Linked DNA regions of Drosophila melanogaster. The protein of the gene in region 2 purifies or fractionates together with the protein of the main gene of each other region. This does not show direct contact. Each region holds a gene or a part of one and is shown on either strand. Other genes may lie near its edges.

Evidence for each region.
Region 1: the proteins of CG4598 (region 2) and Prx6c purify together in Drosophila melanogaster (affinity purification with mass spectrometry, with the first as the bait; one large-scale study listed by BioGRID). This does not show direct contact.

What each region holds. Positions count from the first base shown.
Region 1 is NT_033778.4:10,414,990-10,421,155, forward strand, and holds Prx6c (peroxiredoxin 6c), read left to right. Parts: upstream 1-3,728; 5' UTR 3,729-3,815; coding exon 3,816-3,898; intron 3,899-3,960; coding exon 3,961-4,335; intron 4,336-4,398; coding exon 4,399-4,474; intron 4,475-4,537; coding exon 4,538-4,666; 3' UTR 4,667-4,772; downstream 4,773-6,166. Other genes in the region: CG11825 (uncharacterized protein), read right to left, coding at 5,712-6,058, 6,114-6,166.
Region 2 is NT_033779.5:9,914,956-9,921,705, forward strand, and holds CG4598 (uncharacterized protein), read left to right. Parts: upstream 1-3,662; 5' UTR 3,663-3,752; intron 3,753-3,919; 5' UTR 3,920-3,925; coding exon 3,926-4,153; intron 4,154-4,214; coding exon 4,215-4,361; intron 4,362-4,420; coding exon 4,421-4,891; 3' UTR 4,892-5,165; downstream 5,166-6,750. Other genes in the region: yip2 (yippee interacting protein 2), read left to right, coding at 393-411, 670-836, 1,097-2,025, 2,085-2,166; CG5885 (uncharacterized protein), read right to left, coding at 2,488-2,912, 2,979-3,126; CG4594 (uncharacterized protein), read left to right, coding at 5,419-5,646, 5,699-5,845, 5,899-6,366.

The DNA of each region.
Region 1 (6,166 bases), on a different chromosome or scaffold from region 2:
TATTATATATATATATTGTCTCGCATATCAGATATATATAAAGATATTAAAATATGAAAAAAATATATAATATGCATTCCTCCGCGGCAATACACTTATTTTGCAGGTGCATTTTCCGCGCTTTCATTATCAACACTGTTGGCGAGGGGATTTTCTTCGCGTCTTTGTTTTTCCAGGTCTTTATTATTCTTTGGCCTATACAATGTCCCGCAAGAAGTCGTCGCCAGTTGTCTTTGTTGTTGTTTTGCTTGTTGTTGTAGCGTTTTCCTTTGGCTTTTCCTTATTCCACTTGTGTTGTTGTTGTTGCTGTTGCACAAGTATTAACCAAAGGACCCCGGAGCTGCTAAACAAGACGCATCCGCGGAAAACCCAGCTCCCCCCTCCCCCCGCCTACCATTTTGCACTCGTTATTATTATTTTCGTTGGTTTATTTTTTTGTGACACTTGGAATATTTTATAACAAAAACTTGACCCGCTTTTCCAGGAGCGAAGGAAATCCGCATTTCCTGTCCCTTGCAACGCCACACACCTGCTCATCATCAACTGCTGACTTATTGTTTTCTTTTCTGGTTGTGTTTTATCATTGTACCTACACCACTCCCTCACCTTGCTACAACTACATACACACATACATACACACTCCAACTTTTCCTGTCGCTTTTCCACGTGCCTTTAATCCCCGTTTTTATTTTTTAACTTCTTTTCTCAGCTGCGCAGCGGCGCTTAATTAAAATTAACATTTCATGAAGTGCAAAAAAAAACACAAAGAAAAACATTCGCGGGGGTACAAATGACGCTTCCCAAAAAAAGTTTGCTTAATCGTTTCATTAATATTTAAGGCTTATGGCGGTCTGATCTGTCTAACGGTTTTGGGTCCCGCTGACTTTCAATTTAAATGCGATTTTACTCTTGTTTGTGCCACCTTTTGAACCTTTAAATAATCTCGAATAAGCTGTTAATTGTATTTAAATTCAATAGGTATTTTCAAAAAATACCTTAAATGGCGGGTCTGTATTATTGTGAAACTGTAGTTAAAGTTATTTTATTATTTAATCTTGATTTTTTATTTTATATATTTTTAACACTATTTAAACAATTATTTTTAACAGTGTTATTGCCCAAATGCCAACAAGTTTTTAAAGTCACATATAGTACGTATTAAGCTAATTTAATTTAAATGGGCCACTGAAATGTTTAATTGCCTGAACAACAAAAAGCATTACCTACCTACCAAACAATCCTTTAATTACATTCAACATGAATTACAAGAGTACCTTTAAATATTAATTGTCGGTCCGAAAGAGAACATTAGGCAAAGTAAACAAAAGCGTGTACATATGAATAATAACATTTGTGCCCACACCTCACGTGCGCATAAATTGTTGCTTATTTTTTTTTCTAGTTATTTTGGCGACATTCGTAATTGAATGCATTATTCAATGGGCACCGAGGGAGTATGTTTTCGTACCTGTTTTTTATAGCACTTTAACACTTTGATGGCCAACGGGTGCCAGCGGGCTTAAAGCAGTTGGGCCGGGCGATGTAAATGTCTTGGCATATTTTATGAGGACAGTTGGCTGGCAACTTTTCGCCGAATTTCGGAAAACAACTTTATCGTTGCATTTACCATTAGAGCTGGTCAAGGGAAAACTTTTACTACGAGGCGATCAGATCACTTGGGAAAACGCTCCGTTTGAATGGGTGGATAGTGTTAAAGATGATTTGTTTGTAGCCTCACATGTTTGGATTAGTTGGCAAACACACGCGAACGCACCGCATGGGCAAACAACACACAAGTGGAAAAGTTTTCGCGGACAAAAGTTTTCGCCGCCTGCCAAAAGGTGTGTGCACTTTGTCAGAATGCTAGTTTACTACGAACGGCGGTCCCTAGGCTCAAAGTCGGGGCGATACGATAAGACAAATATGTCAAAAAACAGTTTCGAGGACCGTTTACCGTTATGTTTCGACCGCTCAGCTACCGCACGCGCGCATCGCTAAATTTGAACTGAGCCGGAGCGCCAAAAAGCAAAGCAAAGCGAAAGCAAAGAAGGAAAGCAGAAAGGAAAACATGCGGCGTGGGCGATTGCGGTGCTTATCAAAATCAGCTGTTCGGAAGCTGACTTCAAGCGTTAGCTTTCAGGCGCAAAAGCTCTTCCTACAGTCACCGATGCGAAAATAGAATAGCTTTTGGAACACTAATATCAGTCTCAAGTTGAGACTCTCAGCCAAAATATTGGTTGACTTACATTTGTAAGCCATTTTGTTAATGCATCAAGCTGGTAAGCAAAATCGTCTGCTGGGGCATACTTTCAGGCGAAAACGAATATTTTTATACATCCTTTTGGCGGCGGGTTTCTTTCTGATGTTTTTTTAAATGTAACATATTTATAAGGATTAATATCAACGATATGCGCGGCCAAATTGAATTCTTGCGGCTATAAGTGAAAATCCTCATAAGTTTTAATTAAGAGAGGTAGTCAAAAAGAAACACATTTTCTTACATTGTTGTTATTGTTTTGTTCTTATTATTAGGGTTGTTTTTTAAACAAGATAATTTGTGAGCTTAAATAAGCTGGGTTACAAAATATCGAATATTTTTAAACTAATTTTATTAATTGTTATTAATAAGTAGGTCATTAAATTTTTAACGATTAAAACAAATTCTATTTTCGGTATCACAAAACTGATAAGTAATGGAAAATTACTACAAAACGTTTATTATAGAGACGAAGGTTTCTGAATTCTTAGATTAGACCTTATAACTAGCACCCTCTTACGAATGTACTAGTAACTTAGGAAATACGATCGAGCTATTGGAAGTGAATCCAATTTTGTTAAAGATAACCCACCTCTAAATAAATTTAACACTTGCTGCATTTTGAATATCCATGATGACTATATCTTTTATTTTAATTTCAACCATCTGAATCCCATTTGGGTACTGTCTTCTGAGTTAGCGATCTGCCCATCCGACTTTCCAAAACCCATTCGAACTATTTGTGTGTTTTACTGAAAAAAAAACCTATGCTGGTGTGCTTAATATTCGATAGACCCACGCACACAGTCTCATGATTTCACTCGCTCTTCACTTTCAATTGGAGGCTCGTTTTGTGTACGTGAACGGGAGAGCCGTGCGATCTATGGAAGTGTGCGATTTTTGGAGGCACTCACAAATACCATCACACTGCTCGGCGCTCTCTTGCTCTCAATATCCGCCTATCGATGTGGCTGTATGTTTGCAGGTGTTGGTGCTTCGCCTCTATTTACCAATACCATTTAACATTTAAATGCTCTCTGGCTCTCTGTTTATGTTTGGAACCGGCTTATCTGTCAGCTGGACCAGATCAGCTGTTTGGATGTTAGATGCTAAAGGAGTTTGCGCCTATTGGACTTTTAAAATGAGATTAATGAAGAACCAAATAAGGAAAACAGTACTTTATTCTAAGATACTTCCAGAAGCATTTCGTCTCAAAGTCCAAATTATGTACCACGTTTTGTAGAGGCCCCTGTCGAGTTTCACACACATGACACCATGCTCAAGGTTTCCCACTCCCCCCACCAAAGCAAACTACTCCACAATCTGTTCAGTATTGTTTTATAATCTGTTCACAGAATAATATACTACAAACAAACACGCGCGTTGAGGGAGCGCCCATTTCCTATCTCTATCGCACCCGCTATTTACGTCGATCACGTTGGGTATAAAAGACAGCCAGCTCTCCCAGTCAGTATTCAGTAAGCAACAAGTGTGCGAGCTAAAAGCAGCTACCAGTTGAGCAACTAAGTTTTTTTGAAACTAATAATCAAACAGCAAGATGCGTTTGGGACAGACCGTACCTAACTTCGAGGCCGACACAACCAAGGGGCCCATTAAATTCCACGAGTGGCAGGGCAACTCGTAAGTGCCATCAAACCCTTTTTCTCTGATCGAATCTTACCAATTCTTCTTCGGATCGCCAGCTGGGTGGTGCTCTTCTCTCACCCCGCCGACTTTACTCCCGTCTGCACCACTGAGCTGGGCAGGATTGCGGTGCACCAGCCGGAGTTTGCCAAGCGGAACACCAAGTGCCTGGCACATTCCGTTGACGCATTGAACTCGCACGTGGACTGGGTGAACGACATCAAGAGCTATTGCCTGGACATTCCCGGGGACTTCCCCTACCCGATCATCGCCGACCCTACTCGCGACCTGGCCGTCAGCCTGGGCATGCTCGACGAGGAGCAGAAGAAGGATCCCGAGGTGGGCAAGACCATCCGCGCCCTGTTCATCATCAGTCCGGACCATAAGGTGCGCCTCTCCATGTTCTACCCCATGTCCACTGGTCGCAACGTTGAGTAAGTACCTCTTTCGGGCTACAACTATTGTTAATCTCAACTGACGATCCTTTAATCTTACAGCGAGATTCTGAGGACCATTGACTCCCTCCAGCTGACTGATCGCCTCAAGGTGGTGGCCACTCCCGCCAACTGGACCGTAAGTTTTTCTACCCACTTAATGCGAACTGTTCCGAACTAATTAATTCTGTTTCATAAACAGCCTGGCACTAAGGTCATGATCCTGCCCACTGTCACCGATGAAGAGGCTCATAAACTCTTCCCCAAGGGATTTGATAAGGTATCCATGCCGTCTGGAGTAAACTACGTCCGCACCACTGACAACTACTGACACAAAACCGTTCCCCATTTGTGATCCATTCAATAATGTGCCGTATTTCCTGACATATACTATATACTATGTGCAGTTCATTTATTTAATAAAAAATTATTTTAACAAAATATCCAAACTATTTTAATTGATTTAATGAAAGAAATTTTTGGAGAATAATGTAATCCAATCAGAATTAGGGGAGTTACTGCGATTTTGACGTTCTTTTAGATTGTATAATGTCTGTTTTTTATTTCCTTGCGGATGGTATAGTGATTTTAATCTATTGATGTATTTCTATTGCAGTTGGTAAATAAGTCAAAACTGTATAATATATACGATGGAATAATAGTGAAAATGAGATGGTGTACCTTTTTTGACAAATTATTTGGTTTTTTATTTTATCAAAATCGTAGTGTTCTTATTCGGAATGCATCAGTTTTTAAAACCATTAGTCGTAGAGTAAAAGGATATACTGGGATTTCTTAAAAAGCATAAAACAAATAAAATGATGCCTTATCGACCATATGAAGTATATAAATTCTTGATCATGATCAATATCCGAGTCGAGGCTGAGCTGTCCGTCTGCATGAACGCCTTTGAAATTTATTCATTTTATTATACATATGTTGAACTTTCTCGTTCGCACTCCCACTAGCTAATTAAAGAGTATCTGATAGTCGAGGAAATTGACTATAGCGGTTTCTCTTGTTTAAATATAACATTACTCCAACGGAATATGAATCATAAATGTCATAACTGTAAGTGAAGTGTTTTTTGGTAGAAACATTCTTTATTGTGTACGCTTAATAGTTAACTAATTTTAACTAAGATTAAACCTGATGGCTAATACTTTGCAGAACTTTCTTAAATTCTAGAATAATTTGTTCTACCATTTCTGATTCGATGAAGGTGGTGGGGAGGTAGGCAATTTGATGCTGTTGGGAAAATGAAATTAATAGTTGTTCATTCAGAAATTTCGACAGATGTACTTACAGTTTAATTAACGGTCACCATTTTATGTATGTATTTTTGGTCTTTGGCCGATGATCCTACTATATCTTATTTATTCGTCTGGCCTGGTATTGCTTTTCGGTTCCTCGTGGAGCAGGTACTCCTTGGCCATGGTGTACGCCAATCCGGCTGTCAAACATCCAACGACGGTTCCCTGGGCAGCCACACGCAACTGCATCAGAAAGACGCTGGTGCTCATGCTGCCTCGGTTCCGATATTTGTAGGCTCCAATCAAACCTGCGGCCACGAATCCGGCAATACCCACCAGCATAAAGGGGGACTCCTTCACTTTTCGGGATAACTTGTTTGCCTGAGCGACATCTTCGTCGGTTTCGAATAGAGAATTGGAACTCATTTTGAATAGGTTAGAAAACTTGTTCCCTCTTCTTGTTAGTTTGCCTGATAATTGACAACTGAATTCCGAGTGAAAGAGATCCCTGGCTTTTATACCCACTTGCTTTGAGACGATCAGTGAGCGAGATAGCGACAGTGTTGTTTTCACTGATA
Region 2 (6,750 bases):
CAACATTTTGTAAGGAGTACTTAAGTATGCAAAATTGCTTTGATAAATATACATTAAGAACGCATTAAAGAGACTTGTATTTAAAAACTAGAGGATTGATTGAGTTTCATCAAAAATCGAAATTCAGCGATGGTGACTAATCGTCACTAAGAACAAAGGAAGGAACAAACTGCAGCTAATTTTGCACAGTGTATTCTACAGCTGTAATCGGTGGGCTTGTCTCACTTTGTTTGTCAGAGAGCGGGGTAAAGCTTTTCGAGCTTTCATCCAATAATATGTCGGCGATGGCGGCGAATCGCGACCAGAAGTCGAAAGTTATTGCAGTGCGATAGTCGCCTTTACTTGCATTAATTTATTTGTTGTTTTATTTAAGAGTGAACCCACCTTAGAAAATGTCTGCCGCAACCAAAGGTAATTATGTGAATCCTTTAGGATATGCCTATGCTGTTGGAAGTCTAGATAAGAGATGATCTCGCTAGAGAGATCTGAACTTTGGACTCGTTGGTGTCTTATCTGATGCTATCCCCCCCCCCCGCGTCCAGCCGGTTGCACTTTGGACCTGTTGAATCGAAAACAAAAATCCGCCTTCGTTCGAGCTAAATTTGTGCTATCACTACGCACATTATATATGTTATACATATGTTCGTATGTTTCTTCTCCTTTGTAAAGGTATCTATATTGTGGCTGCCAAGCGTACGGCCTTCGGAACCTTCGGTGGATCCTTGAAGGGCATCAACCAGACCCAATTGCAAACCACGGCGGCCAAGGCTGCCCTGGATGCTGCCGGTCTTAAGGGTGAGCAAGTGGACACCGTCATCGTGGGAAATGTGATCGCGGTAAGTTGGATTGAAGATCCTAAAATAGAAACTCTTAAGGCGTCGGATTAAAACAATATTAAGATGTTATTAAACTAAAAGAAATATGTAAATGTGATAAAATACTTGTACATCTGGTTATGTAAATTAATTTACTCGATATTTATTTGTTATTATTGCTTAATTGCAAACTCAGTAGATCAAAAACTGGAACTACATGCTTATATTATGTTTTTTTGTAACTTGTAAGTCTTAAAAATCTCTTCTCTTCCACTTCGCAGTCCTCCTCCACCGATGGTATTTATGTGCCCCGTCATGTGGGTCTCAACTGCGGTGTGCCCATCGAGAAGCCCGCCCTTGGAATCAACCGGCTTTGCGGTTCCGGCTTCCAGTCGATCGTAAACGGAGCCCAGGACATCCTGGTCGGCGGTGCCAAGATAGCCCTTACCGGCGGCGTGGAGAACATGTCACAGAGCCCTTTCATTGCCCGTAATGTGAGATTCGGAACCACCTTGGGTGCCAGCTACAATCTGGAGGATGCTCTATGGGCTGGCCTCACCGATACCTACTGCAAGCTGCCCATGGCTCTGACCGCTGAGAACCTGGCCGATCAGTACAAGATCAGTAGGGAGCGTGTGGATGAGTTCTCTCTGCTCTCGCAAAAGAACTGGGAGAAGGGTCAGAAGGAGGGAGCATTCAATGCCGAGATCACACCCATCAAACTTAAGGTCAAGGGAAAGGAAGTGGACTTTGTGGTGGACGAGCACCCACGTCCCAAGACCACCATCGAGGGTCTGAACAAGCTGCCTTCGCTGTTTAAGAAGAACGGCGTTGTGACTGCCGGAACAGCATCCGGAATCTGTGATGGTGCCTCCGCAGTGATCGTGGCCTCCGAGGAGGCGCTTAAGGAGTACAACCTGAAGCCTCTGGCCCGTCTAGTGGCCTTCTCCTTTGTCGGAGTCAAGCCTGAGATCATGGGCATTGGCCCAGTACCCGCCATTCAGAACGTCCTGAAGGTTTCCGGCAAGAAACTGGAGGATATTGATCTGATTGAGATCAACGAAGCCTTTGCTGCCCAGACATTGGCTTGCGCCGATGCCCTGAAGTTGGATACCTCCAAACTGAATGTGAACGGAGGCGCCATCGCCTTGGGCCATCCTCTGGGTGCCAGTGGCTCTCGCATCACTGGTCATCTGGTTCATGAGTTGCAGTAAGTTTCCGTGGAAATTTACAACCTGTCATAAATTGATAATTATATATTTTTTCCAGGCGCAAGAAGCTAAAGTACGGCATTGGATCCGCGTGCATTGGTGGTGGTCAGGGCATCGCCCTTCTCCTCGAGGCTGTCTAATCCTACAGCTTAATGTAATAGGTGCCCTGCATTTACACTTAAATTAGTGCTGAAAATTCCGTTTTAAAAATACCCCGATAGCAATAAAGAAATTATTTTATCTTTACAATTTATTCAATCAGCAGCGAATGGAAGTTGATCAGCTTTCTACAAGAAAGACAAGTTGGTGTTTATACTATAAAATTTCTATGCTCGCACTGCTGGAAACGCCAATGGGACGGGGGTTGGCGGATGAAGGACCAGCCCGCTGTACCAGGAAATCTCTTGAAGGGCCTTACATTACGAGTACATGAACATGGGATGACATGGCTGCACATTCGCTCAGTTCGTCTGTGCGCTGGTGGAGAAGAGCGACAGAGCGCCGCTGGCGATGCCCACGGAAAAGATGTAGTTGATGAACGGCGTCGAGTTCTTCAGGATAAAGAAGCTGATGAAAATGATAACGGCCAGGTAGATGGCGTTGTTGTAGAAGATGGAGAAGGTGGTGGCCTCGTAGTCGGCTACCTCGTTCTTCTTCCACAGGATGCGCTCGTCCTTTTCCTTGCGCGTGACCTTCTTGTCATCGCCCACCTGACGGTTGACCTCGCGGGTCACCGCCTCCTCCCGCCGTCCGGCGATCTTGTGCTTCAGCTGGAACTTGATGTTCTTGTAGGCGGTGGCCATCAGATAAGTACTAGCGGCCGTCACCAGGACGAACAGGATGGAGCTGGGCCACAAGTCCATGTTGTGGATGCGCCAGAAGAGCCCTGCAAGGAGCATACTCCATTCATTCACAAAGTGTCCCAAAACATACAACGTGTCACTTTACTCACAGATTGGAACGGCCGACACGATAAAGGCATTGCCGTAGAACAGCGCCGACGACTTGGTGCTCACGTTGCGGCTAAAGTCCTGCAGCAGCAGCTCCTCTTCCTTGGTGAAGCCAGAGGACTGGACTTTCTGTTGTTTGCCGGATCCCATTTTTCAGTTCGATTTTCGTAGAGAAAGTAGCGAAGAGTGCGGTAAAGTGTACACGAATGCAAACGCAAGTCGGCTTCGACGAATTGTGACGTGTAAACGTCAAAAACCAGGGCTGCAGGCTGGAGTGCGGCTGTCAGTGGCTGTCGATTGGCGATGACAGCGCTGTCGTCTATCGATGTTTGCCATGGTTTTTAGCATTTTGTGGCGGTTATGGTTATTTATTTGAATTTATATGACGATGATTTGTATAATAAAATGACATTGCTGAGGCGATGCTTCACATTTACTACATTTAATTGCAATACAGTCCTTCATAAATAGTGTAAGCTATATTTTTTTAAATAAAATAATACTACTTAAAACATATTTGTTTATTTACTTTTTAAGTGTGTTCACTAAGATTTATCATGGGGCTTACTGGGTAGTTTTCAAACGCTCTTAAATTAATAACATTAATGACATAATGTATCTTACAACTAAGAAAAAGTATTAACCATTCGGTGTAAGCCTATTTTCCAATAAGATCCCCATTCTACGCCACTGGATTTCGGACTATCGATAGCGCAACAGGTTCTTCGGCAGCTGAGTTTAATAGTTAAAACTGCAGCGCTTAATAATATTCATAGGTAAATACGAAAACTGCCTTAGTTTTGAATAATTTACTTTGTCGCGCATAAAATATATTCGTATTTAAAATTGAGTTGATAAAGAAGATTACGGACATAGAAAATTAGAAACCGGCATCCGTCCAAAGGTCACTTTCAGTTGTGTTTACGTCTTTTGTGCTCTTCAGATCAAAATGATGCGATCGAAAGTCTTGAGCTTGGTGGCCCGTGCTGGCTCCAACCGTATGATGTCCACTGCCACCAAGTTGACCACAGTGGAGGTCAACGACAAGACCGGCATCGCCACCCTCACGATGAACCGGCCACCCGTAAATGGTCTTAACTTGGAACTGCTGCAGGACCTGAAGAGCTCCATTGATGAAATCGAGAGCAATAAGAGTCGCGGACTCATTTTGACTTCGGTAGGAAGGATATTAAATCAATGGAGTATAATAAATACATAAATACAAATTTCACCCGTAGTCTAGCTCCACAATATTCTCAGCTGGTTTGGATATTCTGGAGATGTACAAGCCGGATAAGGACAGGATTCGCGCCTTCTGGACGCAACTGCAGGATACTTGGCTGGCCCTTTACGGCAGCAGTGTTCCCACAGCGGCAGCCATCAATGTGAGTTCCCTCCTAGATTCTAAGAAGCATGCAGTGAGAGCGTTTCTTCTTATCCCTAGGGACACTCCCCTGCCGGTGGATGCTTGCTAGCCACATCCTGCGAGTATCGGGTCATGGTGCCAAACTTTACCATCGGCCTGAACGAAACACAGCTGGGTATTGTGGCGCCCCAGTGGTTTATGGCCTCTTTCCTGAGCGTCTTGCCACAGCGAATTGCGGAACGCGCCCTCAACCAGGGTCGCATGTTCACCACGGAGGAGGCCCTGAAGGTGGGCCTCATCGATGAGACTGCCAATAACAAAGAGGAGGCTATTGAAAAGTGTGTCGCCTTCATTGGCACCTTTGCCAAGGTCAATCCGCTAGCCAGGTCACTGACCAAGCAGCAATTCCGAGCTGCTGATCTACAGCAACTGCAGAACGGACGGAAGGAGGATCTGGAGAAATTCCTGTTCTTTGTCAACCAGCCGGCGGTACAGAAGGGTCTGGGCATTTATCTCGAGGGTCTGAAGAAGAAGGCCAAGAAGCAATAATGATTTTAAACGTTTTTATATAGTAATAAAGTTGTTTTGAACCCATTTTATAACGAATTCATAAAACATTTTCTTATTCTACAAATATAATCTTATTCTATAAATATTGATTGAATAACATAAAATTAGTTGTAGTTTTCCTAAATACATGTAGCATTTAAAGAACTGGTAAACAGAATCATGTTTTCCAGCGGCTTAATAATCCTGAAAATACATTTAAGATAATATTCTGTTCAAATGGTAATTTAAAGTTGATTGTATTCGATAATTAAACGGCGGCCGATAGCAGTTGGCTGGAAACTTTCCATCGAAGATCAGTTGCACTAACTTAACAGCTGTGTAGATAAGAATTTAAAAAACATTCGGTGAAATTAACCCAGAGGTATGTACGTAAATAAATATATATATTTTGCAAAATTGCATATCAAATGGAAAACATTTAAGATATAACTATATAATCAAATTACCACCTATGCAGGTTGCAAATAAACATTTGAACAAAGGTCATCTTCCATACTTAAAGAAAGATGCTGCGCTCAAATTTCTTAAGATTGATGGCCCACGGGGCTCCAAGTAGATTAATGTCCACCGCCACCAAGCTGACCACAGTGGAGATCAACGATAAGACAGGAATCGCTACTCTCACGATGAACCGGCCTCCGGTGAATAGCCAAAATGTCCAGCTGCTTTTGGACCTGCAGACTTCCATTAGCGAAATTGAGAACAATAAAAGTCGGGGTCTCATTTTAACCTCTGTGAGTTCGATCCTTTATATAACTATGCAAATAACACTTAAATTGCGTATAGGCCAGCTCCAATGTGTTCTCAGCTGGCCTGGACATCTTTGAAATGTATAACACAGACGTGGAGCGACTCCGAACCGTTTGGACCGAATTGCAGAATGTATGGATTGCCCTCTATGGAACAACTTTGCCCACGGCAGCAGCCATCAATGTAAGTATCTTATCTCTTCTAATGTAGATATGTATTAATTTATAATCTATCAGGGCCACGCCCCCGCTGGCGGTTGCCTGCTGGCCACTGCCTGTGAGTATCGAGTGATGCGGCCCAACTTTTTGATTGGATTAAACGAAGCCCAACTAGGAATCATTGCACCCAAGTGGCTAATGTCCGGCTTCGCTAGCATACTGCCCAAACGGGTGGCAGAGCGAGCTCTCACCCAAGGACGTATGTTCACCACACAGGAGGCCTTTGAAGTTGGCCTGATCGATGAGATCGCCAGCAGCAAGGAAGAGGCCTTGGAGAAGTGCGCTGCCTTCATCGGCACCTTTGCTAAGGTCAATCCTTTGGCCCGCGGACTGACCAAGCTCCAGTTCCGTGGCGACAACATTAAGGAGTTTGAGATGATTCGCGAGAAAGATATTGCTGACTTTGTAGCTCTAGCTTCTAGCCCGGGAGTGCAGAAGGTTATGGGAGCTTATCTTGAAAACCTAAAGAACAAGGTCAAGAAATAGTACACCTAACTTTGTAATTTGTAATGTTGATCTTTTTACGTGCATTTAAACTGGAACTATTCGTCCAAAGTCCCTTAATTTGTTAATTTAAAAAATTGTTTATATGTTAACCTAAAAATAAATAAAATTCCTGATGATAAAATTATAAAGTGCAAGAGATAGGATAAGATAGTGACAATTACTAGCGTTTCAAAATTCACAAAATATCCAAATTTTGCGGTAAGCACTTGTTGATCTTGATTTGCTGCTGCCGTGTAAACTTCGCCTGGAAATGCCGACCAGCTGATCGTTTCGGCTTGAATGTTTGTTTTATTTGGTTTGCAACTCGACTTAATATATGATAAACAGGTTAATTTGTTTAAATTCCTGCCCGTCGCTCAGTGC